7 linked regions of the Rattus norvegicus genome follow. The protein of the gene in region 3 interacts with the protein of the main gene of each other region in a biochemical or structural test. Links are inferred from orthologs where the notes say so. Each region holds a gene or a part of one and is shown on either strand. Other genes may lie near its edges. The genes, in order: Fyn, Hck, Khdrbs1, Itk, Yes1, Lyn and Fnbp4.

Evidence for each region.
Region 1: the proteins of Khdrbs1 (region 3) and Fyn form a complex in vitro, tested with the Homo sapiens proteins (4 studies listed by BioGRID and IntAct, with this or other methods). The link is inferred for Rattus norvegicus from reciprocal best matches to the Homo sapiens genes KHDRBS1 and FYN.
Region 2: the proteins of Khdrbs1 (region 3) and Hck interact in a biophysical measurement, tested with the Homo sapiens proteins (2 studies listed by BioGRID and IntAct, with this or other methods). The link is inferred for Rattus norvegicus from reciprocal best matches to the Homo sapiens genes KHDRBS1 and HCK.
Region 4: the proteins of Khdrbs1 (region 3) and Itk form a complex in vitro, tested with the Homo sapiens proteins (4 studies listed by BioGRID, with this or other methods). The link is inferred for Rattus norvegicus from reciprocal best matches to the Homo sapiens genes KHDRBS1 and ITK.
Region 5: of the proteins of Khdrbs1 (region 3) and Yes1, one has a biochemical effect on the other in vitro, tested with the Homo sapiens proteins (2 studies listed by BioGRID, with this or other methods). The link is inferred for Rattus norvegicus from reciprocal best matches to the Homo sapiens genes KHDRBS1 and YES1.
Region 6: the proteins of Khdrbs1 (region 3) and Lyn form a complex in vitro, tested with the Homo sapiens proteins (3 studies listed by BioGRID and IntAct, with this or other methods). The link is inferred for Rattus norvegicus from reciprocal best matches to the Homo sapiens genes KHDRBS1 and LYN.
Region 7: the proteins of Khdrbs1 (region 3) and Fnbp4 form a complex in vitro, tested with the Homo sapiens proteins (2 studies listed by BioGRID and IntAct, with this or other methods). The link is inferred for Rattus norvegicus from reciprocal best matches to the Homo sapiens genes KHDRBS1 and FNBP4.

The regions. Positions count from the first base shown.
Region 1 is NC_086038.1:44,321,254-44,325,463, forward strand, and holds the start of Fyn (tyrosine-protein kinase Fyn), read left to right. Parts: upstream 1-1,410; 5' UTR 1,411-1,487; coding exon of another isoform or gene 1,488-1,520; intron 1,521-1,699; exon of another isoform or gene 1,700-4,210. UniProt on the Homo sapiens protein: Non-receptor tyrosine-protein kinase that plays a role in many biological processes including regulation of cell growth and survival, cell adhesion, integrin-mediated signaling, cytoskeletal remodeling, cell motility, immune response and axon guidance.
Region 2 is NC_086021.1:162,059,333-162,062,832, forward strand, and holds part of Hck (tyrosine-protein kinase HCK), read left to right. Parts: intron 1-1,384; coding exon 1,385-1,564; intron 1,565-2,939; coding exon 2,940-3,016; intron 3,017-3,500. UniProt on the Homo sapiens protein: Non-receptor tyrosine-protein kinase found in hematopoietic cells that transmits signals from cell surface receptors and plays an important role in the regulation of innate immune responses, including neutrophil, monocyte, macrophage and mast cell functions, phagocytosis, cell survival and proliferation, cell adhesion and migration.
Region 3 is NC_086023.1:147,370,649-147,374,939, reverse strand, and holds the start of Khdrbs1 (KH domain-containing, RNA-binding, signal transduction-associated protein 1), read left to right. Parts: upstream 1-1,491; 5' UTR 1,492-1,569; coding exon 1,570-1,951; intron 1,952-4,291. UniProt on the Homo sapiens protein: Recruited and tyrosine phosphorylated by several receptor systems, for example the T-cell, leptin and insulin receptors. Once phosphorylated, functions as an adapter protein in signal transduction cascades by binding to SH2 and SH3 domain-containing proteins.
Region 4 is NC_086028.1:31,267,505-31,271,004, reverse strand, and holds part of Itk (tyrosine-protein kinase ITK/TSK), read left to right. Parts: intron 1-207; coding exon 208-290; intron 291-1,070; coding exon 1,071-1,204; intron 1,205-1,583; coding exon 1,584-1,658; intron 1,659-3,500. UniProt on the Homo sapiens protein: Tyrosine kinase that plays an essential role in regulation of the adaptive immune response. Regulates the development, function and differentiation of conventional T-cells and nonconventional NKT-cells.
Region 5 is NC_086027.1:120,645,607-120,649,659, forward strand, and holds the start of Yes1 (tyrosine-protein kinase Yes), read left to right. Parts: upstream 1-1,253; 5' UTR 1,254-1,468; exon of another isoform or gene 1,469-1,919; intron 1,920-4,053. UniProt on the Homo sapiens protein: Non-receptor protein tyrosine kinase that is involved in the regulation of cell growth and survival, apoptosis, cell-cell adhesion, cytoskeleton remodeling, and differentiation.
Region 6 is NC_086023.1:21,545,127-21,548,626, forward strand, and holds part of Lyn (tyrosine-protein kinase Lyn), read left to right. Parts: exon of another isoform or gene 1-307; intron 308-1,840; coding exon 1,841-1,994; intron 1,995-3,500. UniProt on the Homo sapiens protein: Non-receptor tyrosine-protein kinase that transmits signals from cell surface receptors and plays an important role in the regulation of innate and adaptive immune responses, hematopoiesis, responses to growth factors and cytokines, integrin signaling, but also responses to DNA damage and genotoxic agents.
Region 7 is NC_086021.1:97,187,608-97,191,651, forward strand, and holds the start of Fnbp4 (formin-binding protein 4), read left to right. Parts: upstream 1-1,244; 5' UTR 1,245-1,319; coding exon of another isoform or gene 1,320-1,400; coding exon 1,401-1,629; intron 1,630-2,523; coding exon 2,524-2,616; intron 2,617-4,044.

The sequences.
Region 1 (4,210 bases), on a different chromosome or scaffold from region 3:
TTCAGGGGAGAAAAGTACTGAGCAGGAAAGATAACATAGACCTTGAGCGTCAAAGGAAGCCAAGGCTGCTTCGCTTAAACTTACTTCTTACAAGATTAGATTTGCTGGGGGGGAGAGGGGTGAGTTTCTTACCAAAATCATTAAAGAAAATGATTCTGAACGTGTCTTAAAACAGAGCTTTCAGGAAACAGGAATTACCTATAAAGAAAATCAGGAAGGCGAAGTGTTTCTTTTTATGAAGTTACATCCTGCCATAGAAAAGCTGAATCGGAAATAAAGACCGACTGCATACCAACCCAGTTATTATTTCATCAAGGAAAATCTGAGTAAAAAGCTCAGCCCAGCCACCAATGAAAACAAGAAAACCAAGAGAAGTTTGAATGCATCGAGAAGCCAGACAGGCAATGGCTACTCTAAAGAGCTAGGAAAGCGCCCAAGCATCTCTACTGTGTGGTTTGGAGGTTCTTTGTTGCAGGCCCCTTGAATTTTAGTCATACTTCCTCTCACGTTTCCTGATGTGTGTGTGTGAACATGAACATATTTGGGTGCTCAAGAAAATGAGACTAGCAAATTATGAATTTCTTCTTCTTATTATTCGTTGCGCATTTGTTGGTTCGAGCTTTCCCAGTTTCTGCACTGGTACTTCTCTACTTTGCTCCTCACTTCTCCAATTTGCCATCGCCCTTCTTAACACCTTTCCACTTTATCCTCCCACTCCTATTTCTTTGGAGAAATAGGTTCCCATGGCTGTGAGGCTCGAGTGGCAGGTGCCAGTCTCCACTAGCAAAGTAGGAAAGCAGCTCGTTCCCTGCGCTCTCTCCTGTCCACCCCACCAACTCGCAACTCCACAGGATCCTCAGACACACACCTCCTCCTTCTCCTCCTCAACCTCGCATCCTCTCGCACACCCTGTGGCCCTGCGCACGCCAGGCTGCCCGCCACCACAGTAACGCTCAACCCACTCGGCGGCCCCACCCATGGCCGTCCCGCCTCCGACGCGCGCACCAATGGCTGACTGCGCTCAGCCCTCAGCGGACCCTTTGATAGGGCAGAAGGAACTGACAGTCTCGGGGCGTGTCCCGCCCCCTCTCGAACCCCTCGGGATCCGGAGCAGCCCGAGCATCAGCGAGAGTAGCTGCGAGAAGCCGCGGCGGCGGCGCGTCGGTGCAGTTGCGCCATCTGTCAGGAGCGCAGCCGGCGGGGAGGGGGCTCCGCGGAGAGGAGGAGGGGTCGCTGTGCGCCGAGCCTCCGAGACCCGCCCGCTGATCAAGAGCGCAGCGAGGCCGCCTCTAGCCGGAGCGCTCCGAGGACTCCCCGGGCGCACACAAAGCCGCCGCCCGCGCCAGGGAGGGACTGGGCTGCCGGGCCGGGGACACCGGCGCCGCCCCCTCGGCGCTTCGCGAGGCCCACGAGCTCCTGGGCCCGGCCGCGGAGCCACCGGAGCCGCCAGGGCCTCGCCGGAGGAGGGCGGGGAGAGGACCATGTGAATGTGCTCCGGAACCGAGCGCCACGCCACGCAGGTAAGCGACCGGGGATGCGCGGAGCCTCGGGATGCTGCGGAGACGCCCGGCCCAGCGCCCCCGCACGGGCTGCCCCCGCTGCGGTCCCGCCGCGCAGCCTCCAGGGCGCCCCGCGACGCAGGACACTGATGCGGGGTGCCGCCCGGAGGCTGCGCGGGCACCGGGGTGCCATTCCTCGGCCGCCGGCAGGCGCCGGGTGAAAAAAATAAGAATTGGCTTGGGGGCGAGGTTGGCCCAGCTCCGCCTCCGCCCTCCTTTCGCAGCCCCCCGCGGGGACCCGGGCTGTGTGTGTTGTTTTAATGTCAGGGATGATGTAATCACTTAATAATTGATGCCCGGTGCTGCTTTCCTCCCCACCCAACCCCTGCCCCACTCCTCCACCTCCCGGCCTCCTCCCTCGGCGGCCCTTGCCTTCCCCAGCGCATCCTTCTGCCTATTTCTGGAACCTCCCTTGCACTTCCCCCACCCTCCCCTTCACCCTTCCTGTGCTGCCACCCACCCACCCTTCCCCTTTCCCCTGTGTCTGGCCTTGCCTTTTCTTCCTCTGTCCCCCACCCCTTCGGCTTTCAAGCTTATTCCTCCTCCCTTCTGGACTCGCTGGATTTCCTCCCTACTTCCCTAGGTCGGTAGATGGTTTTGTTTGGTCTCCTCTAGGCTCTCTTATCTCTGAGGCCACAGGGACTGGGCTAGAAAGAGGCCACCAAGCTTGGGCCCAGGAGGCATTGGCTGGGACTCACTGGGAGGAGGGATAATAAAATCACCCATTTTGCCCCTCCTTCCTCTAATAAATCAGACTCTCTCTCTCTCTCTCTCTCTCTCTCTCTCTCTCTCTCTCTCTCTGTGTGTGTGTGTGTGTGTGTGTGTGTGTGTGTGTGTGACACAAAGAGCCCTTTCAGTTCATAGAAAAGAGACACATAAAGTCCCCAAGGCACCACCATGCTTCTTGTCTCATCCCTGGGGCTTCCCTTTCTTTCTGATGAAGCAGTTGATCTCTAGTCCTTTCTGCCACACTCACCAAAAAACGAAGGCTCCCGATCCCGGGTGGCAGGTGCACTTATTTTGCTGTATTCCCAGGGTGGTGGCATTGAGTGGCAACTGCAGTTTCCCCTATTTAAGGGAGGAATTATTTCAGCTGTTTTAGGAGTTGCTATACTTTCAAGGAACCCTCCTTCCATCCCTCGTTTTCCTCCCCTTTCTTCTTGGGGGATAGGTACTGATACCTGAGACAGGATAAATCAATGGGTGGGGGGATCAGAAGAATTTTGTGTCTGAGTCAGAATCAGTTCACCAAGAGTGAGGCAGCCTGACTGGATTCTCTAAAGTCCAAGGCCGCTTTGCTGAATGAAGTCTTTTGAAATGTGCTGTGGTGTCCAGCTATGCTCTTTTATTTAAGTGACCGGGGCTGTGGCATGAACGCACTTGGGCTGGCGTTCGGAAGACCCTGGAGGCACCACTTGTCTGGTTCAAGGGTGACTTTGGATGCCCACATCCTCTCAGCACCAAAGCAGCTTACAGTAGTTTTCACCCTTTGTGCTCAGTCTCCCTGCCCCTGCCCCTGCCCCACGAGTACCATGCCCTCAGACTTGGGAGGAAGTGGTTTCAACTCTCAAGCTTTGGGGCTAGCTGACTATGAGCCGGGGGTGTAGATGACTGGATTCAGAACCCATGATGTTCCTCTTAAGGTAGAGATATTCATGTAAATCTCAGACATAGTGTGTCAGAAACTTTGGTGTAGTCTGCTGATTCCTGGATCATGTTGTGGGGCCTCAAGTGTTCAAAGTAACGGAACTGTCCCAAGTTTACTTTTTAGCTGTTTTATCTGAAAAGAGTTGTGATGAATTAAGCTGACATCCATTGTGGAACATACATACATACATGTACACACATATACATACATACACATACATACATGCACACACATATACATACACAGATACACATATATACACATACATACATGTACACACATATACACACATATACACATATACACACATATATATACACACACAGATACACATATACACACATACATACATGTACACACATATACACACATACACACACACACACACACACACACACACACACACACACCATACATACAGCAGAAGGGTTAATAATGAATGCTCTCTGGAAACAAAGGCTGGTTTGTTGGGATGCCAAACCCAGAAAGGAAAGTCAATACACAATAAACTCACACTGTACTGACCAAGTCAGAGGCACTTATTAATAAGGTTAAATGAGTGTGAGCAAATGCCCTCTATTTTCTGACGGTCTGGAGTCCCCACCTCTTCTGATGTTCTGAAGCCCAGGCCCAGCACAAATGTTGTCTCTATTCTGAAACCTTCACCGGCTTCTCTGCTCCAGCCAAGCCACCATGTCTCCAAATTTGTCTCCCAACACCATCGTCAGAGTCTGTTTTTGTTTATTGTCCATTTCTGCCACTGGGTCGAGAACCTAATCTGGCTTGTCTCATTTTCATTGGGTTTTACTCTGGTTGGTATTACTTGGTGGCTTCATTTAATGAGCGACAAATATGAATCAGATCAACGATACATACGTACGTACGTACCCAGCGTCTTTTAAGAAGACTCATGTTAGTAGCTATAGTAGGCCTGAGAATGTATCATGGTACAAAAACACAAGAGATTCGTCTGTGCCCCTGTGATAGCACCACATACGTGTGT
Region 2 (3,500 bases), on a different chromosome or scaffold from region 3:
AAGTTAGTTTTAAAAGCCCATGTCCCAACTACATTTACCGAGAGCCTGCTATATGCCGGGTGCTGAGCAAATGAAGCCATAGGAAGTGCAAGGAGGAAAGCCAGCTCTGAGGAGCAAAGTTGGGGTAAATTTTAAAAAGAAAAAAGAAAGAAAAGAAAAGAAAAGGGGTTGGGGATTTGGCTCAGTGGTAGAGCGCTTGCCTAGGAAGCGCAAGGCCCTGGGTTTGGTCCCCAGCTCCGAAAAAAAAAAAAGAAAAAAAAAAAAAAAAAAAAAAACAACCAGAGTGAGCCAGTGAGATGGCTCACTGGGAAAAAGGCTTGCTGCAAAAACTGATGATCTGAGTTCAAACCCCAGAACCCACACTGAAAAGAGGGAACTGCTGGCAAAGATTATCCTCTGACCTACACACACACACACACACACACACACACACACACGGGGGGGGGAATTAATTTTCTTATTTTTCTGTTTTTTTCACTATTTAATTTTTTACAGTCCAGTTGTTACCCCCCTTCCAGTCTGCCTTCCCACAGTTCCTCATCCCATTCCTCCTCCCTTCTGTTCCCCAAGAGGATGCCCCCCACCCTACCCCCTTAATTTTATTTTATTTTTTAATGAAAGCAAGAGTGAGCCAGACCTACCATCCCAGTTACTATATTGAGACAAGACTCAAGTTCAAGGCCAACCTGAACAACTTAGTAAGACCCTGTTTCAAAATAAAAGGTGAAGGGGGGGCTGGGGATATAGCTCAGTGGTAGAGCACTTTCCTCGTATGAGATCCTGGTTCAGTGTCTAGTTTGAGCATGTGTGTCAGAGGTGGCCTTGGTGGATGACAAGGACAGAAAAGTAGGCATGATCAGCAGGCAGAGCTATGGGACATAACGGATCCGGTATTTATTTCAAGGCAGTTAAGCTTACACAGTCTGTGCAGGCTAGTGTCACAGTCCAACTGGTGGCTTAAGGGTTACTGCCATGATCACTGTCACAATGCCTGGGATCAAGCCCAGTATCCTGTATGTGCTGAGCTCCAGTCTCAACCCTTGTCTTTAGAGTCATGGCTGGCCCAGAGCCTCCAGTCCTCCTGCTTCATTGGCTTTCCCAAGCCAATGAATGACAGGCATGAGCCCCAAGCCCAGACAGGAGGGTTTTGCACTCTTGCAAACAGCGTTTCAGACTGAGTGCTTATCACTTCCACTTAGCAGGGGGAGGAAAACAGCCTGGAGAACTTAGGTAATGTGTTTCCGTTGCACTCAGCTAGGCAGGGAACCCATCTCCAGCCCACAGATGGGGTGGACATAAGCGGTGCCCTCCCTCTGTCTTAAAGGCCTAAGGTGGGCAGGGCTGCTGGGTCCTAACCACCGTCCGTGTTCCATGCTCTCCCCAGCCACCTACAACAAGCACACCAAAGTGGCGGTGAAGACAATGAAGCCAGGGAGCATGTCTGTGGAGGCCTTCCTGGCAGAGGCCAACCTGATGAAGACGTTACAGCATGATAAACTGGTGAAGCTGCACGCCGTGGTCTCTCAGGAGCCCATCTTTATTGTCACCGAGTTCATGGCCAAAGGTGCGTGGGCTAGGACAGACCGTGGTCCGAGCTGACTTCCTTCAGTCTCAATGATGACCTTGACGGGGCTCTTCTGGCACATCCAGCACGTCCCTATAGAGCACCAACACTCCAGCCTCCTGGCTCGCAGAGTGAAATCAGGTGAAGGGTGCTCTGTGGAGAGGAAGGGCAAGGGCTGCAGAGCCTCTGGATGACAGATGCAGCACATGGCTTCCTTGTGACTTGTACCTTGGAACTTTGACGCTGGGCTGTAAAGAAGTCCTGCTTCGAGTACTGAGGGACAAGAAGCCACATGGAGAAAGACCATAAAGGTGACACGTCATCTTGAACATTCCACCTGTGTCACCTCACCTCACAGTGAGGTCCTGCTATGATCAACCCACTGAACCATGACAATGCTCATGTTGTCACTTCAGGCTACTTAGCTTTGGGTCGCCCTACCCTGTGATTATTCAGCATATCTCAGGAATGTTTGAGAAAGGATTTCACCCTGTAGCCCAGGTTGTCCTGGCACTCATTATGTAGCCCAGGCTAGCCTTAATCTCACAGCTGTCCTGCCTCAGTCTCTCAGGTGCTAAGATTACAGATGTGTGTCTCCATACCTGGCTTCCCAGAGTTTGTTTATTTGTTTGTTTGTTTGTTTGTTTGTTTTAAGACAGCTAGTTTATAGTCATTTTCATTCCTTGGTCATTTCTGGATAAACATTTCACACAGCATCATCTAATGTGACTTGAAAACTCAAAACTTTTCTACTTTTCAAGTCTACAAATCTACAACCAGCCAGCTTTCTAAAGCCAAGCCCTGGGCACCCAGTTTCACAAGGCTGCATTTCAGAAAAATTCAAGCTCTAGCACTCGTATCCTAGGAGCAGTAGGGAGATATTTCTTTAACTAGCACTACTCCTGGGCAGTGATGAATGCTGGTAGTCGAGACTATTCTACTAACTGAAGTGGAAAAGTAGCTGGAGCCCAGGAACTGGAGACCAGCCGGAAGAACACAGCAAGGCACTATCCCGGGAAGAAAGTCATACCCGCTTGCCTTCAATCCCTGCACTTGGGAGGCAGAGGCAGGCAGATCTCTGTGAGTTCAAGGCCGGCCAGGCTAGTCTACAAATCGAGTTCCAGGACAGCCAGGACAACACAGAGAAACCCTGTCTCAAAAAACGATGAGTACGACAAAGAAGGGGGAGGAGGCAGAAGAAGCTGCTTGGCTGGAGCTGTAGCTCAGTGGTAGAGCACCTGCCCAGCATGTGTTAGGCGGTTCTGGGTTCAATCCCCGTAGTGCAAAGAGGATAAACCCCTATTGCAAGAAGAAAAAGTTACTTATTTCTCACTAAGGAGTAGTAGTCCATGTTCCTTCTTGCTCCCCTCTGCAGGAAGCCTGCTGGACTTTCTCAAGAGTGAAGAAGGCAGCAAGCAGCCACTGCCAAAACTCATTGACTTCTCAGCCCAGGTGAGCTGTGCCAGCAACAGACAGGAAAGGTGACGTCATCGTAGTGCGTGCTCTGTATCTTTTGTGTGAATTCTCATCCTCACCACGGACACAAGGACTAGTGACAGTACTCCAAGGACTCAAAAACTTATGCACGCTAAAGTCCCTTATAGAAAATAGTTATCGGGTTGGGGATTTAGCTCAGTGGTAGAGCGCTTGCCTAGAAAGCACAAGGCCCCGGGTTCGGTCCTCAGCTCGGAAAAAAAGAAAGAAAAAAAAAAGGAAAGAAAAAAAGAAAATAGTTATTTGCAAATCATCTAGGCCCATTCCCCTGTACACTACTTAAAGCAGCTCTGGGCGACTTATGGAACCCAACATAAATGCTATGTAAAGGGTTATTATTTTGTTGTATAAGGGATAATAATCGTTTAAAGGCTGTAGACACTGAATGTAGATGCAGTTGTTTTTAGAATACTCCTGATGTGCCGTTGGTTGAATCTGCAGA
Region 3 (4,291 bases):
CTGAGAAGCTTCTTAGTTTGCTTTTGGGGGACAGGGTGTCCCTTCGATATCCTAGGTGGCCTGGAGCTGTGTATGTAGGCCAGACTTGTCTCAAACTTGAGGTAATTCTGTGGCTCTCCCTCCTCAGAACACTATGAAGGATAACCACCTCATTCCCTTAGTAGGGGTAGACGTGAAGGCCACTATGTGCATGTAGAGGTCAAAACTTGGGAGAATTGGTTCTCTCCTATTTTGGGCCAGGGGATAGAACTCAGGTTGATGATAGTTTTTCCCCCAATGAACTAAGTCAATTCAAGACGAATTAAAAAAATAAAAAAGGCATGTTTATTTGGGAATGGGCTCCCAGGCGAGACCACCAGCCTCAGAGTACCGGAATAAATCAGGGGCAGACTATGGCTGGTAAGTTTTCAATAAGAGTGTAGGCAATAAAAATGATGTGTCTACCACAGGCTGGGCTGGGGTCATCAAGGGAGAGGGAGAGATTTGGGTAGCTGGTGACTTCAGATGAGGTGGATTAGGACAGTCAAGAATTCGGGACTGGGTTTTTTGGCGCCTTTTTCTGTTCTGAGGCTTTCTAAGTGGGCGGGGTTGGAGGGAGAGAGAGAGAAAATTGGAATTTACTGGGGGTAGGGGAGCTGGGGACTCCAACCAAACAGGTGACAAACAGTATTGCCAGTTGTTCTGGCCCCAAATGTATCTTTTAATAATTCTCTCACCAAATTTGAACCTGCTCTAATAGAAATCTTGGTGTCTGACTTCCTGGATGCTCTACTTGGGAATGGAGGGAGCCCTTTTTTTCCGTTGTTTGCGTCTCTGACTGACCCCTTCTGAGTTTCAGTTCTGCAATACATAGCATTTAGTCTTCTATTTCCCATTCCTGGCTTCCCTTTCTCACACCCACCCGGGGTCAGCCTCTCCCAGCATCCCCATCTTCCCATCCCGTTCGCGCAGTCTTTCCCTCTCTTTCGGCCTCGCTTTGCTCTAATCCTCGCGTTCCCCTCTCTCCAGAAGCGTTCCTTTCATTTCCTTGCTGGAGAGGCGGCCCCCGAACCACACAGCAGCACCGTTCCCCCGGGACCTCCCCAGGCTCGGCCGTTGAAGGAGGCGTGGCCCACGAATAACAGGTCTCCTGCCGCACACTCCGCGGGCCCGAGCGCAGACAAAGACATTCCACGGCGCCCGCCCCCTCCGCGCACTCCGCCCGAGGGAGGGGGAGGGGAGACACGTGTACCGCTAGCGCCGGGTCACGTGGAAAAGGAAAAGAAACGAACGAAGGCGGCCGGCGTCTGCGCAGGCGCAATAAACTCGGAGCCTGAGTGGGGAGGCTACGTCTTCAGTCGGCGCAGGCGTCGTGGCCCAACTGGGGACTTTGTTCTCCGCGGAGAAACTCAAGGGCGGTGCCGGTAGGCGCCTGCGCACGCGCGCCGCCTCATTTCCGGTGCTCTCTCGCTGGGTCGCTCGGGTCGGCTTCGGTCGCTGTCGCTCCCGTTCTTCCACCCCCGCCAACCGCCGCTCGGGCCTCAGCGCCGTCGCGTCGCTTCCTCGCTCGCTCGCCACACATCATTCCTGATGCAGCGCCGGGACGACCCTGCCGCGCGCCTCACCCGGTCCTCGGGCCGCAGCTGCTCCAAGGACCCGTCAGGTGCCCACCCCTCGGTGCGTCTGACCCCGTCTCGGCCGTCGCCGCTTCCTCACCGGTCCCGGGGAGGCGGAGGTGGGCCCAGAGGAGGCGCTCGGGCCTCGCCCGCTACGCAGCCGCCGCCGCTGCTGCCTCCCTCTAATCCGGGTCCCGACGCGACTGTGGTGGGTTCCGCGCCGACCCCGCTACTGCCCCCGTCAGCCACAGCCGCGGCCAAGATGGAGCCGGAGAATAAGTACCTGCCTGAACTCATGGCTGAGAAGGACTCGCTCGACCCGTCCTTCACTCACGCCATGCAGCTGCTGTCCGTAGGTAAGCGGGTCTTGGCGTACTTTGGGGTCTCCCGGTACCGGCGGTGGGTGGCCGCCGCTTTGTTCTTGCTCCCGCCCCCTCGGAGCCCAGGCATCGAGAGTGCTCATCTCGACCTAGCCTTAGAGATTCTGCACCCTCAGTCCCACCCCGGATCAGGGTATAAGGGGAGGTTTCGGAACCGCGGTCGAGGCCCGAAGAGGACTCGCGATCTCCGAGCGCGGAGAGGTTGATGGATAGTACCGTGCTCCCGCCCCCTTCTCCTCCGGTAGTAGTTGCCCCGCGCGCCAAGGACCAGCTCTTACCAGAAATGAACCTACTTCTCCCAGCTTTCCCAAAGAGAAAACAATTTGGGGAGGCGGGGTCGCGGGTGGTGGAGAGTGCCTTGACCTGGGTTGTAAAGGTAAAAACTGCCGGAATGCCGGTCCCGCGCGGCGCCTCTACGGAGCGGTGCTGCGGGATTTAGCGGGAACTCGGGTTTAAGTTCATCAGAGGTCGGGGCGACCAGAGAATCCCGGAGCTTGAGGTTTTCTCAAGCAAAGTTTTCCGTTTCGGCCTGTCGAATAAGAATTGCTACAGACCCGGATGGTTTTCTCTCCTTTATTTTAAAATGTGTTTTTGAAGTTATGCAAATGGGGAAATGATGGAGGTAAGGGACGGCAGGTTCTTTTGCGGGAGATGAACGAGAAATTAGTCTTTTTGTTTTAGTTCTTGCTTGAGTAGAGATAGTTTAAGAATGGTAGCCTTTGTTCTCTGCTTGTAGACTAGTGAGCCCTCTTCTCTTGACTTGAGCGACTTAGACATTTTTCTTATTCAAACCGCCTATTGGACCCTCACTTGTAGTTAGACATGGTTTTTAGTAAGTATTTTTTTATGATATCTAAATTTTAGATATCACAGTCTGTCTCACTGATTGAATAGTTGGAGTTTTGTGGGGCAGATGGAACCTTGTTACCAGACAAAAACTGGAGAGGTTGAGCGGATTCAGAAACCCACTCTTGACCTGGTAACTGTCCTGGACCTTGGTAACACTTGACCAAGACACCCCATGGAGAGTCTAACCTCTCAGTCCAAGCCAATAGAAAGCGTCTGCTTTTAGACCCCAACCCACTCCAAAATATATATTCGACCCTATCCACGAGGAATAAAGTTATTTCATCAAAGACCGTCTGAGAGATTGACAGACTCTGGCCAGAATGGTACTGTGGACAGGTCATTGTGAAAATACCATTATCTAATGGAGAGGTGGATCAGCGGTTAATAGCACTTTCTGCTCTTCCACAGGGGTTCAGTTCCCAGCGCCCACATCAGGTGGCTCTCAGACACCTGTAACTTCAGCACTGGGGGACTGATGTTCTCTTTTGTCCTACAGAGGCACTCAAAATACAAATCCGAAAAGAAATAAAAGGAAAATACCATTTTCCTTCATCTGTTCTCTGTCTCCCAGCGTTGTTGAAGGGGCTTTACCGTTTGTACAATGCAAAAAGGTCGTGGATGGACAATGACTTTAAAGACCTGCTTTTCTTTCCAGTCAAATGGAAAAATAAGTGAGGACCTTTGAAGCACAGTAAACCAAACTTGTGGTCAGTAAATAGAAACATCAATTGTTTGCATTTCAGCTCAGGACCTTCATTCTGTAACACGCAGGTTCTTATGTTTTTGTTCTTTTGTTCTGACAACTTAGTTACTGTAAGGATTTTTAACCCCCCCCCCTTTTTTTTTTAAATGAGGCAGGTCTCAAGTAGCTGAGGCTGGGTATTTACATATATCTACATTTATATATAGCCCTTTGTGACCTGGAACTTGTGGTCCTTTTCCTCCAGGGTTTGGGAGGTGTGCCCCACCACATTCAGTTTGTGCAGTGCCTAGGATCAGGCTTAGTACTCTACTAACTTATCTACATTTTCAGGCCATTATCTTTTATATTTTTTTATACCGGCTTGCAAATAGCAAACACCTGTGTTTGATTGACTTTGATAAGTGCCTGCCGACTGAAGAATATCACTATGAAAGGTTGACTTGGTAGTCTTATTTTTATTTCCTCAAATCTTTATAACCTGTCAGGTTAATTGCTAAAGAGTTATATCAGGTCGAAGATGTTAACTTTGGAAACTGACTGTTAACTAGTTACTTGGTCCTGAGAAACTAACTCTGCAGTGTCATCTGTGCAGTGGTGAGTGTGAGATCTAGGTTGTGTGTAAAATCAGCCAGTTACCTCTGACCTGTACTCACCAAACAAAATGTCACCATCGTTTTCTTCTGCTTATAAATTCCTATATACACAGGGCATAGTTTGGCCTTTCTGACTTCAAGTGCAGGTGATCATTCTTTTTTCAACAGGGT
Region 4 (3,500 bases), on a different chromosome or scaffold from region 3:
AGAATCCAGTGCCTGGTGAACTGTAAGGGAGAGGATCTGTGTCTGTCTATCCGTACAGGACCTCACATGAACAGCTGGTGGCTGCCACTACTGAAAGCCTGTTCCGTGCCAGTTAGTGCCTTCTCCTTCTTGAAGCAGGAGAGTGGAGCTAGGTTCCAGAGACTGGGTGTTAGATCACTAACCTTTCACTCTTTCCACCCAATCCAGGGTAAAGAAGGAGCATTCATGGTCCGAGATTCCAGGACACCCGGGACATACACAGTCTCTGTCTTCACCAAGGCCATCATAAGGTATGCCACTCGCTTGGCACAGAGGAATCATGACAGCTGCTTTTGTGTGACAGTGTAGATGTAGCGAGATCTGCCCATACATCATGCAGAGCCTCACTAGCAGTGGTGTGGCTTCTTCCAATGCTCCTGTAAAGTTAAAGCCCCAAGTTCAAGGGCAGGACTAGAGAGATGTAATAAGAAACAGAACTGGCTGGATACCAGATCCTTTCCTTGACTTTGGCAAGGCCTGGAGGCAGAGCTCTGAAGACATCACATACTTGCTTCTGTATGTGGTGAGCACATCAGGTAATAAATATATAGAGTAGAAGAAAGTAGTTTCAACTACAACTGGAAATAGACCAATGCCAGGTCTTGACATGCTAAAAATAAAACCTGTCTGCCATATTGAGAGTCCTGTGTGGCAGAGACTCCTGAGTGTGGGTGCATGTATGCAAGTGTGTATGTGTGTCTGTGTGTGTCTGTGTATGTATGTGCTTATCTCCAGATTCCACCCATGAGAGAAAGCATTCAATACTTGTCTTTCTGAGTCTGGATTTTTTTGTTTACCACACTAATCTTCTGTCCCATCCATTTCCTTATGAGTATCCTAATTTCTTCTTTACAGTTAAATAAAATTACAGTGTATATATGAAGCACTGTTTTTTTAATCTGTTTCTATGCTAAGGAACATCTATGATGACTCCATATTTTGGCTATTGTAAATAGTGCAGCCATAAACATGCACAGTCAAAAATCCTCACGCCGTTCTGGTAATAACTGTGTGTGTTCATTTGTTTCAAGTGAGAACAACCCCTGTATAAAACATTATCACATCAAAGAAACAAATGACAGCCCCAAGCGGTACTATGTGGCTGAGAAGTATGTGTTTGACTCCATCCCTCTCCTCATCCAGTATCACCAATACAATGGAGGAGGTAAGTTCTAGGGGACCGATCCCCACAAGGAGACTTGGGAAGAAATGACCGAGTCCCCACTGGGTTCTTTATGCAGCCCCAACTGTCCATAAATAGTAACTCAAGATGCAAATCAGAAACAGAAACAGAAACAAGCAAAACAAAAAACTTCCAAATGCCCAGGATCCCCATGCCTCCCACAGGAAATATCTGCTCTGAGGTCACCTTGTCCCTGCCCTCCTATGCTTAAGGATCCTCTCAAGGGCTCTGTGAAAACGGTGGTGGGACTTTTGGAATTTGGAAGTACTATTTCACGTACCGTTCTTTTCCTGGTGATTTAAGCTAGACAATTGCCATGGCAAAACCCTAACCATAGCCTTTGGTTTTTCTGTCAACCTAGGTTTGGTCACTCGACTCCGGTATCCAGTTTGCTCCTGGAGGCAGAAAGCCCCTGTCACAGCAGGGCTAAGATATGGTAGGCAGAAGATGTTGGACATTTGAGCTAAAACATACATACCTAAATGTCTAGGACAAATTCTGAGAGTATTTGCTATTAGCCTAACTGTTCTTTAAATGTCAGATGATTTGGAGAGATGGTAAGAGTGATCGATCATATGCATTTGTGTAAGACCAAACACATTTAGTAAGACCAAAGCAGTGCCCTTTGGCTTCAATTGAGGCATTCATTGGGCACTACTTTATACAGAGCACCCTACTAAATGGTGTTGAAAATGTCAGAAAATATCCCTTAGCACTGTGTTCTATTCTACCCTTTGGCACTTTAGTTATACTCTAACTTGTTGGGTCTGGGTCTTCTACAAGGGCTGGGAGCTGTCAGCATCAGAAATGTTTATGTAGAATAAAGTTAAGTTTTGAAGATCTAGGACTTTAACTCAGTGGCAGAACATTGGTCTAACCCGAGTCAGGTCCCAAGTTTAATCCCCAGTACCAGAACAAAAAGGCGGGAGGGGAGGACTGTACCTATAGGGCCCTGGGGCCTACTATGAAGTCTGTCCTCCAAAATAGCTTCTTGACTCTCTACTAGAATCTAAAGGCATCTCAGTTCATATCCCTTGGTCCAACACCAAAATGTGCTGTTTGAAGAGGAGACTAATCTAATCATCCATTGTTGTAACCATTGGTGGTTCTCAGACTTCAGTGTGCAGCCAGTCTTTCCAAACACTTATCAAACAATGCTGATCCCAGGACACTCCCTGCTGCTTACCAAAACACTCCCCGAGAGCATGGCCTTGGAGTCCACATTATAAACAAGCAGCCCAGTAGCTTTGACCTAGGTGGGCAGGGAAATGCTTGGAGAAACACTGCCATAGAGTCTTCATATGCAGCCCTCAGCATGTGTTGCATACAGAGGATGCTCACATGCTGTCTGCTCTTGAGTCTATACCTCAGCTTGACAGACATGTGGCTGTACCATGCACCAGGAAAGCAGAATATATCATTATCCTCCTCATGAAAGTAAGGCTACTCTAATCGCTGAATCCTAAATTGTCCTGGATGGCATCACAGAGACTCTCTGGTCAGCCCCACTTATTTTGTCAGTAGGAAAATGAGGCTTAACTCCTTTTATTTGTATACTAAATACTTACCAAGAGCCCGCTCCAGGACTAGAGAAATGGCTGAAAAGTTAACAGAAGTTACTGCTCTTCCAGAAGAGCCAAGTTCATCTCCCAGCACCCAGATTCACTTATAACTCACTCCAGACTCACAGCCACTTATAACTCCACCCCAGGAGATCCAATACTCTCTTCTGGTCTCTGACAGTACCTGCATTCATGTGCGTTACACTCAAACAGACTTACACCATACTCATAAATAAAAACAATTCTTTTTTTTAAAAAAAGTCCTGCCAGAAACAGTTCCCTGCACAGGTCCCCCATGACCCAAGAACAGATCTTCAAGCTCTATTCTTGTCAAAGCCTAGCACAGTGCTGTGAGCACAGAGGGCCTCTAAATTCATCCACGAACATGTGAAAAATGCAAAGAAAATTTCCTCTGCAATAATGGCATAAAATTACAGACCTGGTATTTGCAAATCTCCATGTACTCTAGAGACTGAGAGAGTGGGATTACAAGTCTGAGACCAATCTGGGATGGATGATGAGTCAGTCTCAAGAGAAAAAAAAAACATAATAAACTCTTTTCAATCAGATGCAGCTAAAAAAATGTTGGAACCCTATAACGATTAACCTTATTTGCCTTCTTTATCACACATAACGCCATTGTCTTTTTCTCTCCTTGCTCTCTCCTCCTCATCATGGCAATTTCAAAAACATGTCCGATGTTAAATAATAACTAC
Region 5 (4,053 bases), on a different chromosome or scaffold from region 3:
CTGAAGGTTTAGAAAGGCAACAGCTCAAGTAATTAATGTTCTAGTTTAAAGAAAAATGGAGTATGTTTATATATAAAACGTAATGTCTCAGTCAATGGCAAAATAAATCACCATTCTACATCACACGTAGGTGCTCATGTGGATTCCCATCCCTTTCTTTGAAGAAACTTTTTAAAACTGTGTGCATTTAAGTTCCTAGAATACCAGAATACTGACAGAGTCGATGGTGCTATTTAGAATATGCCAAAGATGATGCTGAACTTCGCTGAAAACCACAAAGGAAACCAAGAGTCCCACATTAATACTTCGAATAACCCCATCAAAGAGGAAATACAAAAGGGAAATTAAGAGTGTGATAAGGCAGATGTGCCTTTAGCAGAAATACATCTAGATTTAGTCTCTTGACCTTGACTTTCATCTTTACCCCAGTTCCTCCTGAACCCTTACTTTTTCTACAAGGCAAGTAGAAAAAGATGCAAGGCCTCCTGAGGAAGAGAAAACCCTTTCATTGTGACTTCTTCACTTTGGGGGGCCCTAACCTCAGTTTCCATTGCCCTCAAGCAGAGTCACAGTGCCTGTTCGGGTTCCCTATTACTAGGATCAAATAAAATGCTGTCCCACGCTAAGTGAAAGCCACCATTCCTGGGAGAGTTGCCAACACAACTCAGCTTCGGTTCCACTCCCGGCAAGGCTGGTTCGACCTACAGTCAACAGGAAGCTTCTGGGGCAGGGACAGGATCCCAGCTAAGGAAAGGCCAAACGAGAACGTTTTTGGACCGCGACCAAGGTGTCAGCACCGCCCCGGTGGCTCTCGCGGTTGGACTGAGATTTTACTATTAGTGACAAAGGGTGCGGAGACACAACGTTGAGAAACGAACAGTCAACCTCTCTCCAAAGAGCCCCAACCCCGACCACCCTCCCAAAACAAAGCCCCACACTCTTCGGTGTTTCCGTGAGCCAGGCGGAGCCCTGCTTCGCTCGTAGAGGTAGTCCGCGCGCGGGCAGGCAGGGAACCACAGACTGCTTTCTCCTCACGCCCCCTCAGGAGCCCGCCCAGCCCCCGCCGCCATGTTGGGCCGGCAGGCGTGACACTGACAGGCCTCCCAGCCGCCCGCGGACCCCGCGCAGAGCTCCCGCGCCGGAAGGCGCTCCAAGCAAGCAGCAGGGCGCGAGTTCCGGTGAGCGGGCGCGCGCAGGTAGCCGCAACCCCTGCCCGGCGCGCGGCCGCCCCAGTCGGGAGCGGAGGGGCGGGGCCGGCGGCGAGAGGAGGAGAGAGGGAGGCCGTGGGGTGCGGGCGCCCGGGAATTCCCTCCTCCTCAAGTAACGCGTCCCGGGCCGGCTGTGCGGCCGTCGCTGCCTCCCGGCGCCCCGCAAGCAGGAGGTGGAGAAGGGAGAGGGCCCCGCGGGCGTCCGCCTCGGCCGGCCGCCTTCTCCCCGAGGCGACCCGTGCGAGTGCGGCCGGACCCAGGTAAGCTCGCGGCGTGGCCTCGCAACGTAGGCGACTGACCCTGGCCGGGCTGCTCTAGGCCTCGGCATCCGCCCTCCTGCTCCCCGGCTTTTCGAGGCGCCGCCGCTCCCGGCTCTGTCCGCCTGCCGGGCGGGGAGTCTGGAAGTTGAGGAGAAACTTCTCCCCTCCCCCGGTCCGGCCGGCGGGCGGGCGTGTCTCCTGGGCTCACTACCTGCTTGCCCAGTGCCTCGGTCCCCGCCCTTGTCCAGTACTTCCCGATCCTGCGGGAGTCCGTGCAGTGATCCAGCCTCTGTGGTGCCGCCGCTGCACCCTGAGTCCTGAAGGGCGTGGAGTCACTCGCGACCCTGAGGTAGGGGAGCGGCCCCTTATCGTCCTAGCGGCTGGAGGTCTGTGTCGCCGGACGCCCGCAGCAACTGTCCGGAGCGAGGAGTGGAACGCGGGAGGCGAGAGAGTGAGCGGCGAGTTGTGCTTGGTTTGATTGAAAACCACGACGTGTTTATAAAGTTTTCCTTTGTTTGGTTTTGAGGGTGTTGGGACATGTTACAATCAGTGGCCACTTTTAAGGTGTCAAGCCACTCCGCCTTCCCTTGGGTTCGGCTCTCTGTCCTCCTCTGTTAACGAAAATTTTGTTTGAGCGTTTTTTGCTTCCTGATAATTGCTTCCAGCTTTTGCTCTATTGGGCTTGGGAAAGAGTTGTTTTAAGAAAGTGGGAATATCGTTTCTAGCATAGGGATTGCTGTAGTGAATGGGGGTACAGCGTAGTTTTGATGTGGTTATTCTTTGCATAAGTGATTGAAACAGCAGTGGAATGACTAATGACAGTTATCGAAATAAATAAAGGAAAAGTCTGCAGTTGAAACATAACGTAGTACCTCTCTCGTGTGTTCCACAGCTGTGTTTTTTACATTAGTGATTTCACAGGATATTGTGGTTTAGTATATTCGTGCATTATGTAAAATTACTATACTAAAAGTATCTTGACAATTGAAAGTGTTTAAACATCCTGTGTTTAAATTTAATCTAAATTTAAATTACATACTAATGAAAATGTCACTAAGTGTGCATATGTGACTCCATTTAAGGCTGAATGCATGCTACCTCTATTAACCAGCACAATGGTTGTGGACTGGAAACATTTTGAGTGGGAGGATAGGGGATGTTAAATTAAAAGCCAAAGTTCTTAAATGCATCACGTATGAGAGAGAACACAACTGTAGGAAAGTTGTTCCTCAGGAATTTTTTTCTCTTCTTCTTGCTATGTCAGCATTTAGCTATATCTTATTTTTGAATACCAGCAAAACCTCAGTGAAAATGTAAATGCTGGTTGACATTTCAGTGGGTCCTAAATTTGGTGAGGGAGAGAGAGTTTGCTTTTGATTGAAACTTAAATACAAGACTATTTATATTCCATGTTTCTAGGATAAAAGATAGAACTCTTAAAATGTGTACTTTACCATAAAACTATGGTAATGTTATCATACCTTTAATTTTGTAGCTAGGTTTTGCTGACTTCACAAACCACAAAATTGACTCCTTTCTGTTCAACTGAAAGTGAAATTACAGCCTTGACCTGTCTTCTTGGGATAGGTGTGAAATTTGTCTTATGACCAAAGAATAATATTAATATATAGTCAGACATTGTTTTTAGTTCAGGAAATTCTCAAAAAAGCACTGTCTCTGCAAATAAAATTTTATTTCATTGCATATGTAAATAAAAGAATATGCTAAAAGAGCAGGGACCCAGTACAAGGGAAATACTACTAATCCCTGTTTATTTGAAGTTCAAATTTGCATAATTCTAACAGTAAATAGCATTTACTGTGGGTAATTTTTTAAAAAATGTATTTAGCTTCCAATTCAGTGAGGCACTTCAATGTGGGCATCATTTATTAGTCTTAGTACTATTGTTTAGGAAAGAAACTGTACTAATTTTTTTTTTTTGAAGCACAGTGCTAGGCTCTGATGTCTAGGAATGCAAATTTAAATGATCAAATTATTATTGTAAAAAAAAACCTACAAGGAAGTGATTTGCATAAAAACAAAGATAGGGAGGGAAGGAAGCAGCTGTGATAAGGCCAGACTTCTACAGCAGTAGGAAAGTTCTCTGTCCTTGGGTCTTGGAGGAGCTGGTCTTAATTTATCAAGTCATACATTTGTATGTTTGTCTCTTAACCTGGGTTTTATATTTTACATAAAAATACTTTTAAGAAGCCTAAATATAATGTAATGTAAAATGTGCTTAGGTTAAATTAGTAATTTAATTTTTAGGATAATCTGGTTTCCTGTCACAACCTTTAGTCATTGATGTCTGGCTTAAGGGCTCTTCTTTGCTAACAGGTTTAGATTTCCTGCATCATAAGTGTCATATACTAGTTCGTGTGTGTAATTTACTCGAAAATACCATACACTTCCAAATGTACAGTAATGAGAGAATTTTTTAAGAAATGTTTCTTATTGAGTTCTTGATTTTTATTGTTATTTTAATGTTTTGAGAGAAAATGTTGTGTGTTATTAATTTTAAATATAAGTACTAAATAGTAAGTAACATGTTTATTGAATAAATAGGTGTTGTTCTTTTATCAGGT
Region 6 (3,500 bases), about 130 Mb from region 3:
GGTAAAGCTGTAACCCTTAGCTGTGAGTAGTGTTTGTGCAGACCAACGCTGCAAGACAGGTGAAGAGAGGTTCAGGATGGGACTAGGAGGACTCCGGAAGAGGACCCAGGATGAGGCCTGGAAGGAAAGGAAGTGCTAACCAGCTGCTCCTTTGCTGAGCAGTAGAGGTTGAAGGGGCTTGTGCAGTCTTCACAGTGTGAGGTAAGGAGGCTGCTGCTGCTGGTGATGGAGGAGCCTTCCCAGATGCAATTTACAGCCTCTGGGGGACAATTCACTCTATTGAGAAGTCATCCTAATTGAGGAAGCTTCTCTTCTTTTTTTCTTTTTTTTTTTTTTTTTTTTTTTTCCCCCGGAGCTGGGGACCGAACCCAGGGCCTTGCGCTTCCTAGGCAAGCGCTCTACCACTGAGCTAAATCCCCAACCCCAGAGGAAGCTTCTCTTAAACACATACACACAAATACACAGACAAGTACACAGAAATACACACACACCACAAACATGCACTCCATAAACACACGCAAGCACACATACATGCACACATAAATACACACAAGCATGAGCGTATGCGCACGTGTACACACACACACACACACACACACACACACACACACACACACACACACTTTCTTCCTTCCTTATCCTTGACTGTGTAATTTGGTGGCACAATCCTTTAACTGATTTTTTGAGCTCTGCCACATTTCCTACCAGCACTAAGTAGTACCTTCTCCTCTCTGGGCTGTTGTCTATATGAATCCTTCATTCTGCCTCATATTTTTGCTTTGTTGCCAGAGTATATTCTGTTCGTCCTGAGGGACTATGCTCAGAGGCTCTGGAGAGCTGGCCCCACCTCTTCCTTAGCAAGATCCTGACAGAAAGGGTCTTACTAACAAGCGTGTGTCTCACGTCCTGTTGCTGGTGTCTTGTATTAGCAAATCACTTTCTTCTCTTCTGTTGTCTTAGTTCTGGTTTCTACCACAAAATACCATGGACTGGATGTTTCCAACAACAGGCATTTATTTCTTAGAGTTCTAGGGACATCCAGAAAGAAGCACCAGCACATTCAGTATCTGGTACAGGCCCATTCTCCTTACAGCCTCTTAATAGCCATGGCCACCCAAGGTGGAAATGATTAGGAAGCTCTCTGTGGCCTCTTATATAAGGGCACCAAGTCTGCACTGCCCCCCAACCTAGTTACTTTACAACTACCAACACATAAGGATCATATTGAGGGTCAGGATATCAATATATAAATTTAGGGGACCTCACCTAAGAATCTAACATGACCTCTGTATATCAGCATGGGCAGGTTTTACAGGTCTTAAAAAAAGCTTTCACACTGTTAAAAATGCTGAATCTATTGTTATTTAAAAAACAAAATGTTACCATGGGGCTGAGGTGATAGCTGAGCAGTTAAGGCCGTGAACTGCTTTTAGGGAGGGCCCAGATTCAGTTCCCCTCTCTCATGTTGAATTATCTCAACTGCCTGCAACTCCAGCTCCAGGGGATCCAATGCCCCCTTCTGGCCTCCAAGAGTACCTGCATGCAATGTTTTCACTGAGACACAAAAGACACACACACACACACACACACACACACACACACACACACACACACACACACGGACCGACACGAACACACACACACAAAGAGATAAATAAAAATAAAATAAAAACTTTTTTTAAAAAAGTTACCATTGTTGGAGATGTTAGGGACAGACTTTAAAAAGAATTCTAAGGGTGACTTTAGCACTATCTTAAAATTTTGAAAAACTAGTTTTTTTCTTGATGGCCAACCATGACAGCCTCTCTAGAATATGAACATGACCCCCTTCTGTTTGCAGATTGCAGAAGGCATGGCGTACATCGAGCGGAAGAACTACATCCACCGCGATCTGCGAGCTGCCAACGTGCTGGTCTCTGAGTCTCTCATGTGCAAGATTGCAGACTTTGGCCTCGCGAGAGTAATCGAAGATAATGAATACACAGCGAGGGAAGGTACGTGTGCTGGGTTACAGAGGCCATCTTGCTGCAGGAGTGTGCTATTGCCCCCCATGATGATGCCCTCCCACTTTTCCACCCCCCAATTCTGTCCTGTGTTCTCTCGGTTCCCACCGACCTTGTTTCTACCTTCAAGACAAGGCATTGCTGTGTAATGAGGAAATCTCCTAGCTATGTATCTGACAGGTAGTTAATATACAAACAACTCAAAAAGCGACATAACAAGAAATATTTCATTATTTCTCTGCCTAATTTCATTTTTGTTTGCTTTTTAATAAAGCATCTACAAAAAAGTCATCATTTTGAAGGGGAAAAAAAGGGCTTATTTGGTACAATATTGAAGATGTGCCTCAATGGTAGCTTTCTGTGTAAGATCTGTCTTGGATAAGGCCACTCAATACTGTAACAAGATTCATGAACAGTAGTATCTGTCTTCTTCTTTGCTGGTTTTTGAGATAAGGGGGTGTTTTACTTTTTGGCAGTGGGGATTAATGGACGAGGGTCTCATCTTTGCAAGGCAAGAGCTCAACCACTGAGTTGTAGCACAGTCTTGCTGTGTAACCCAGGCTGGCCTCAAACTCTAAATCTTGCTGCCTCAGCCTCCCACGTGCTGGGACTACAAGTATGTGCACCACACATCCAGCCTTGTATTTCACTTAGTCAACACTAAATTTGTCAAAATTAAGATTCTTTATTTACCCTGTAAGGCAGATTTTTTCCCCTCTCAAATAATAAAGCACATGTGCTTCCCTGGACTGCAGAGATGTTCGTAACACTTAGTCTATGCTGCAGACCACTGATGATGGGCCTCGGAGGTTCTGCAACTCTAGAGATCCTCTGTAAGGGTCTGAGCCAGGATCCAAGCCAGGGAATCCAGCTTTTGAGTACATGAGAGAGAATTGATTACACTGGTTTGTTGACACCAACAAGCACTGAGTCTTTGAAAAATACCAGAAAGGACAAAGACCATAAAGAACATGTTAGGATGATACCAAATAGAAAGTGGTAACATGGAGATGCTCCGAGACTCTGTATCTCTGTCCTCCCATCATGCACCACTGCTCCAGGCTGTCTAGAAACAATCCAGGAGTCAGTGATTGTGAGCCCAGCACACAACAGGTGTACACAACTGTCTGTTCTGTTCTTATAGGGACTACTAGTCTTAGTAAGGCACTGCAAAAGAAAATGCCTGCAAAGACATAGTAAAGATAATGTTTTCAAGCAGTGGCTATGAACCCCTAGCAGTTCCACAATGCTGGAGCTACAGACTGCGCCAAGTCTTGCTTTCCTCGAAGGAAATTAAATATAATTCTGGTTGTGGATCTAGTTCAGTAGTCAAATGTGTACTTAGCACTCATTCCGGCACTAAAAATTAAGTAGGTACATTTAAATGAAATAATAAATATGGCCACTCAAACTTAGAATGGACTTACTAAAGAAAAGCCTGAACTGTGTTGTAGAGAAGGCTTGGTGTGACGTTTTGATACTGTATGTTTGGTTTCG
Region 7 (4,044 bases), on a different chromosome or scaffold from region 3:
GGTGCCAGAGGTCAGAACAGGGCAATAGATCCCCTGGAACACAAATTACAGTTGTTGAGTGTTACAGTTGTGAGTCTCCATGGGAGTACTGGGAATTGAAGGTCCTCAGGAAGGTCAGCCATTGCTCTCAACCACTGAGCTCTCTCTCTAACCCCAGATTTTGTTGTTTTTGTTTTGAGACAGGGTCTCACTAGGTAGTCCTAACTCTAGAAGAACTCACAGATCCACTTGCCTGGCCTATTATTCTCTCTTTAATAACCCATCCCCATACATCTTCTCCAGATTTTTGCTTGTATTATTATTTTTATTATTATTATTACTATTACTATTATTATTTATTGACAAGATCTTACTTTGTAAGCTCTGGTATTATGTATACTTGTAGTAATTCTCCTGCCTCCATCTCCACTGAAATTATAGCCATGAACCATGACAACTAGTTCTCCTAGTATTTTAGAACACTTCAGTAGCTCTCCAGGAGTGCACCACCTTTTAGACATTTATCTTTCACCTTCTGACCCGCTGTCATTAGTCTAGAAGCAATTAGAGATGGAAGCAGTGGGTCCTGGACAAAATCAGCATTACCTTGCTTGGCAACTATCTCAGGGGAGAACATTAATGTTTCAGCATGTCACCTGCCTCTAGGAATGGGGAGGTTTCTTCAACAAGCAAATAAGACTCAAAATTTAAAGAGCTCAACAACGCCTGCCTCAAGGTCTTTCCTTTAGCTAGAAGTGGAGGAAAGGGCAGAAAGTAGTGTTTGCGGAAGTAAAATAGGATGAGGTAAAGCTTCTGTATTCCATAAGAACAATTTGGCCTTTTACAAGGTCCAGTCATTTTCCCTACTAATCAGGTCATATTTTCGTTTTAAGAGTCTACTGATGTATAAACACCCAGCATCGTCGTTTAATACTATACCCAAAAGAAGCTACAATAACCAAGAGAACTTGCAGAAGGGTCAAATGTATCTTTATCTTTCTCAATAGCAAATGCAATAAGCCGCTGAAAACAGCCGAAAGATGGCGGACAAAGCCCTAAAGAAAAGACTTAGCTAACAGCGCACGGCCGATATCCAATCTAAGGAAGTCGCACAAACTGAGGGCCCTTCCGCGTCATTGGCTGGACGTCCTGTCTCTTCCTTTTGCTATTGGCTATTGATGCCTTCTCAAGTCAAAACAGCCAATCGCCTTATCCCTGAATAAAGCCCACCCACTGTGGATGGAGCAGAAACGTCGTAAAGGCACCCGGGCTCAGGCCGCATGCGCAAGTGCACCGCGCCGGTTAAAAGCGGGTCTCCTCGGGAGGCGGTGCCGCGGTTCATGAATATTGATTACGCACCGGGGCGCCGTGCGCCCGCCCCTCTAATCTGCCGTCGTTCGCTGCTCGCGCTTGGGCTCGTGATGGGGAAAAAGTCCCGGGCGGTACCCGGCCGCAGGCCTATCCTCCAGCTCTCTCCACCGGGTCCTCGGAGCAGCACCCCGGGCCGGGATCCCGACCCCGATCCGGATCCCGAGACCGATTCGACGGCTGCGGCGACTAGCCAGTCAGTGCCGGCAGCTGCGACGGCAGCGGCCGCGACGTCGCCCGCGGTGCCTGCCACCGCTGCCCCAGAGGACTCGCCTTCAGAAGGTAAGGGCGCGCGAGAGGGGCCCTGCCTTTATTTGGGACGTCCGAAACTCGAGCACGGGGCTTGCGGCCTAGGCTCCCAGGTGTCTCTTCCAACCCGGTGAAGAAAAGTAACCCAGGCGGGTGAGGTGCACCTCGGCTGCTTGCGATTTGGGGCCCGCGGGACGGCGGCCGCGGACTCTGGGAGCCGGAAGGCCGGGCCCGGGCTCATCTGAGGCGCCATTGCGGTGCAGGGGTTTCTCCCGGGAACCTGTGCAATCCACCGAGGCTTGGGACCCCAGATGTCCCCTAGATGACCCCTTCGATCTTAATAACGCAGAAGATGGAGGGCAATTTCCACGTGCGAGCCTTAAGGCGGTTGAACCTAACCTTCTCTACGTGTCACACTTGGTTTCGTTTTTGTTGAAATGGAGACACCACTCTTTAGAAGTGAACAAACCCTTGTTTTTTCTTATGCCAGACAAAGCATCGGTAACCCCAGACTTATGGGCAAGTGACAAAACCTGTGGACTTTTCTGGAACTGTGTTTGGGTGTAGAGTAGCAATTACAGGGATTAAGTGCCGGAAAAGATATACTATACCAAGTATTAAGAAATCAAGTTAATAGGAAGTGCATTATGTGTGGAAACATGCAGATGTATTTGTGCATGTTAATTGTTAAGTGCCATTGCAGGTGCCATTTTCATAGTGTTCACATTCTTACTGTCGATATCACTAAATGAATGGAAGATTCTAGGTCAACTTGGTTTTCATCCCCTTAGTTTGTATCAGTGATACACACTGGTTTTTTAAGTTGGTGGGATCCAGGCCAGAAAAGGGTCAAGTTTTGGGTTTTGTCTTGTTTTTTCCCTGGCCCACTGACCGACTGCAGTTTTCTTTTGTTCATTTCAAATACAGATGAACAGGAAGTGGTGGTGGAAGTCCCAAACGTTGTCCAGAATCCTCCCAAACCAGTCATGCCCACCAGACCCACAACCGTTAAGGCAACAGGTAGAGATTTTTGTTGTTTTAACTTTTCTTTAAAAATATCTTTTATTAAGTTAAAAGTGTGTACTTGGATTGTTGGGTGGTTAAATGTTGCTGATTTGTTATTTCTCATAAAAAGTAACTCAAGTTTTTCTAGGATTGGGGTTGCATGTCAGTGGTAACATGCAAGGCTCTAGGTTCCAGTCTCAGCTTAAAAAAATGGATTAACAAAAATTTTTCTTAAAGACTTGCTGAGTACAAACTTTAAGTAACATGAAAGTTTATTTACTTTTGGTTTATTTACATCTATACACACAAGCTTGCATGCTTCTAAGGCTGCACACTTAATACCTATTTTTTGAGAGTCTCAAGTGAACATGAACCTAAACTGTTCAGCTAGATGGGCTGTAAAGAGAGTTCTTCTCCCCCAGTCTGTCTGTCCTGACCGCTTCACCCCCAGCTCTGTGGTTACACATGAGTGTGCCTCATACTCCGCCAAAACAGGGGTTTAAGGGATCCGAATGCAAGTCCTTAGGCATTTTACAAATTGAGTCGTCTCTCTGATGGCTTTTTGGTCCTTTTGTGTTCTTTGGGAGCATCAACTATGCCTTACTTTTCGTTTGACCCTTACCGTATTTACTCATTTGATTCCCCCCCCCCCTCCAGTGACTCATGGTCCATGCTGGCCTAGAACCTTCTATATAGCTGAGGTTGGCCTTTAGCTATTGATAACTGCTGCCTTTACTGCCCAAGTATTGTGATTACAGGTGTGCTTCACTACACCCAGCTCATTTAACACACTGCCTGGTTGGTACCAGTCAAATATTTATGAAGCTGACAGTCCTCTTATATATCCCCGACCCTGTACAGTTTGCCAGTCCACTCTGCTGAAATATTTGCAGCAGTGATTATCTTGGCAAGCCTGAGTTCAAGTCATCACTCAGGACAGTTATTGAACTGAAACGTACTCATGTATATGGATCTACTATAGTCCTGAGTTGCTTGGGGCTTAAATTTTACATATATATTTTAAATTATATGTAGAGGGGGAGAGAGAATTTTCACATTGGAAAAGCAATTTTATTTTGAAGGTTAAAGTTTTTTTAAAACTTATTTTCTTTTGACATTTGCCTTCATGCCAGAGGAGGGCATCGGATCCCATTACAGATGGTTGTGAGCCACCATGTGGTTTCTGGGAGATGAACTCAGGACCTCTGGAAGAGCAGTCAGTGCTCTTAACCACTGAGCCATCTCTCCAGCCCCAATGATTTTTATTTATAGATGTGTGTCTGTCTGAGTGTGTGCTGAGTGTGGGAGCCTAAGGAGACCAAAAGATGTTAAGATACCTTGAAGCTGGAGATGAAGATGGCTGAGCTCCTCAATGTGGGTTCTGAGAACCAAACTCTGGTCCTTTGGAAGAATAGCTATCTTTCAAGCACAGATTACAGTATT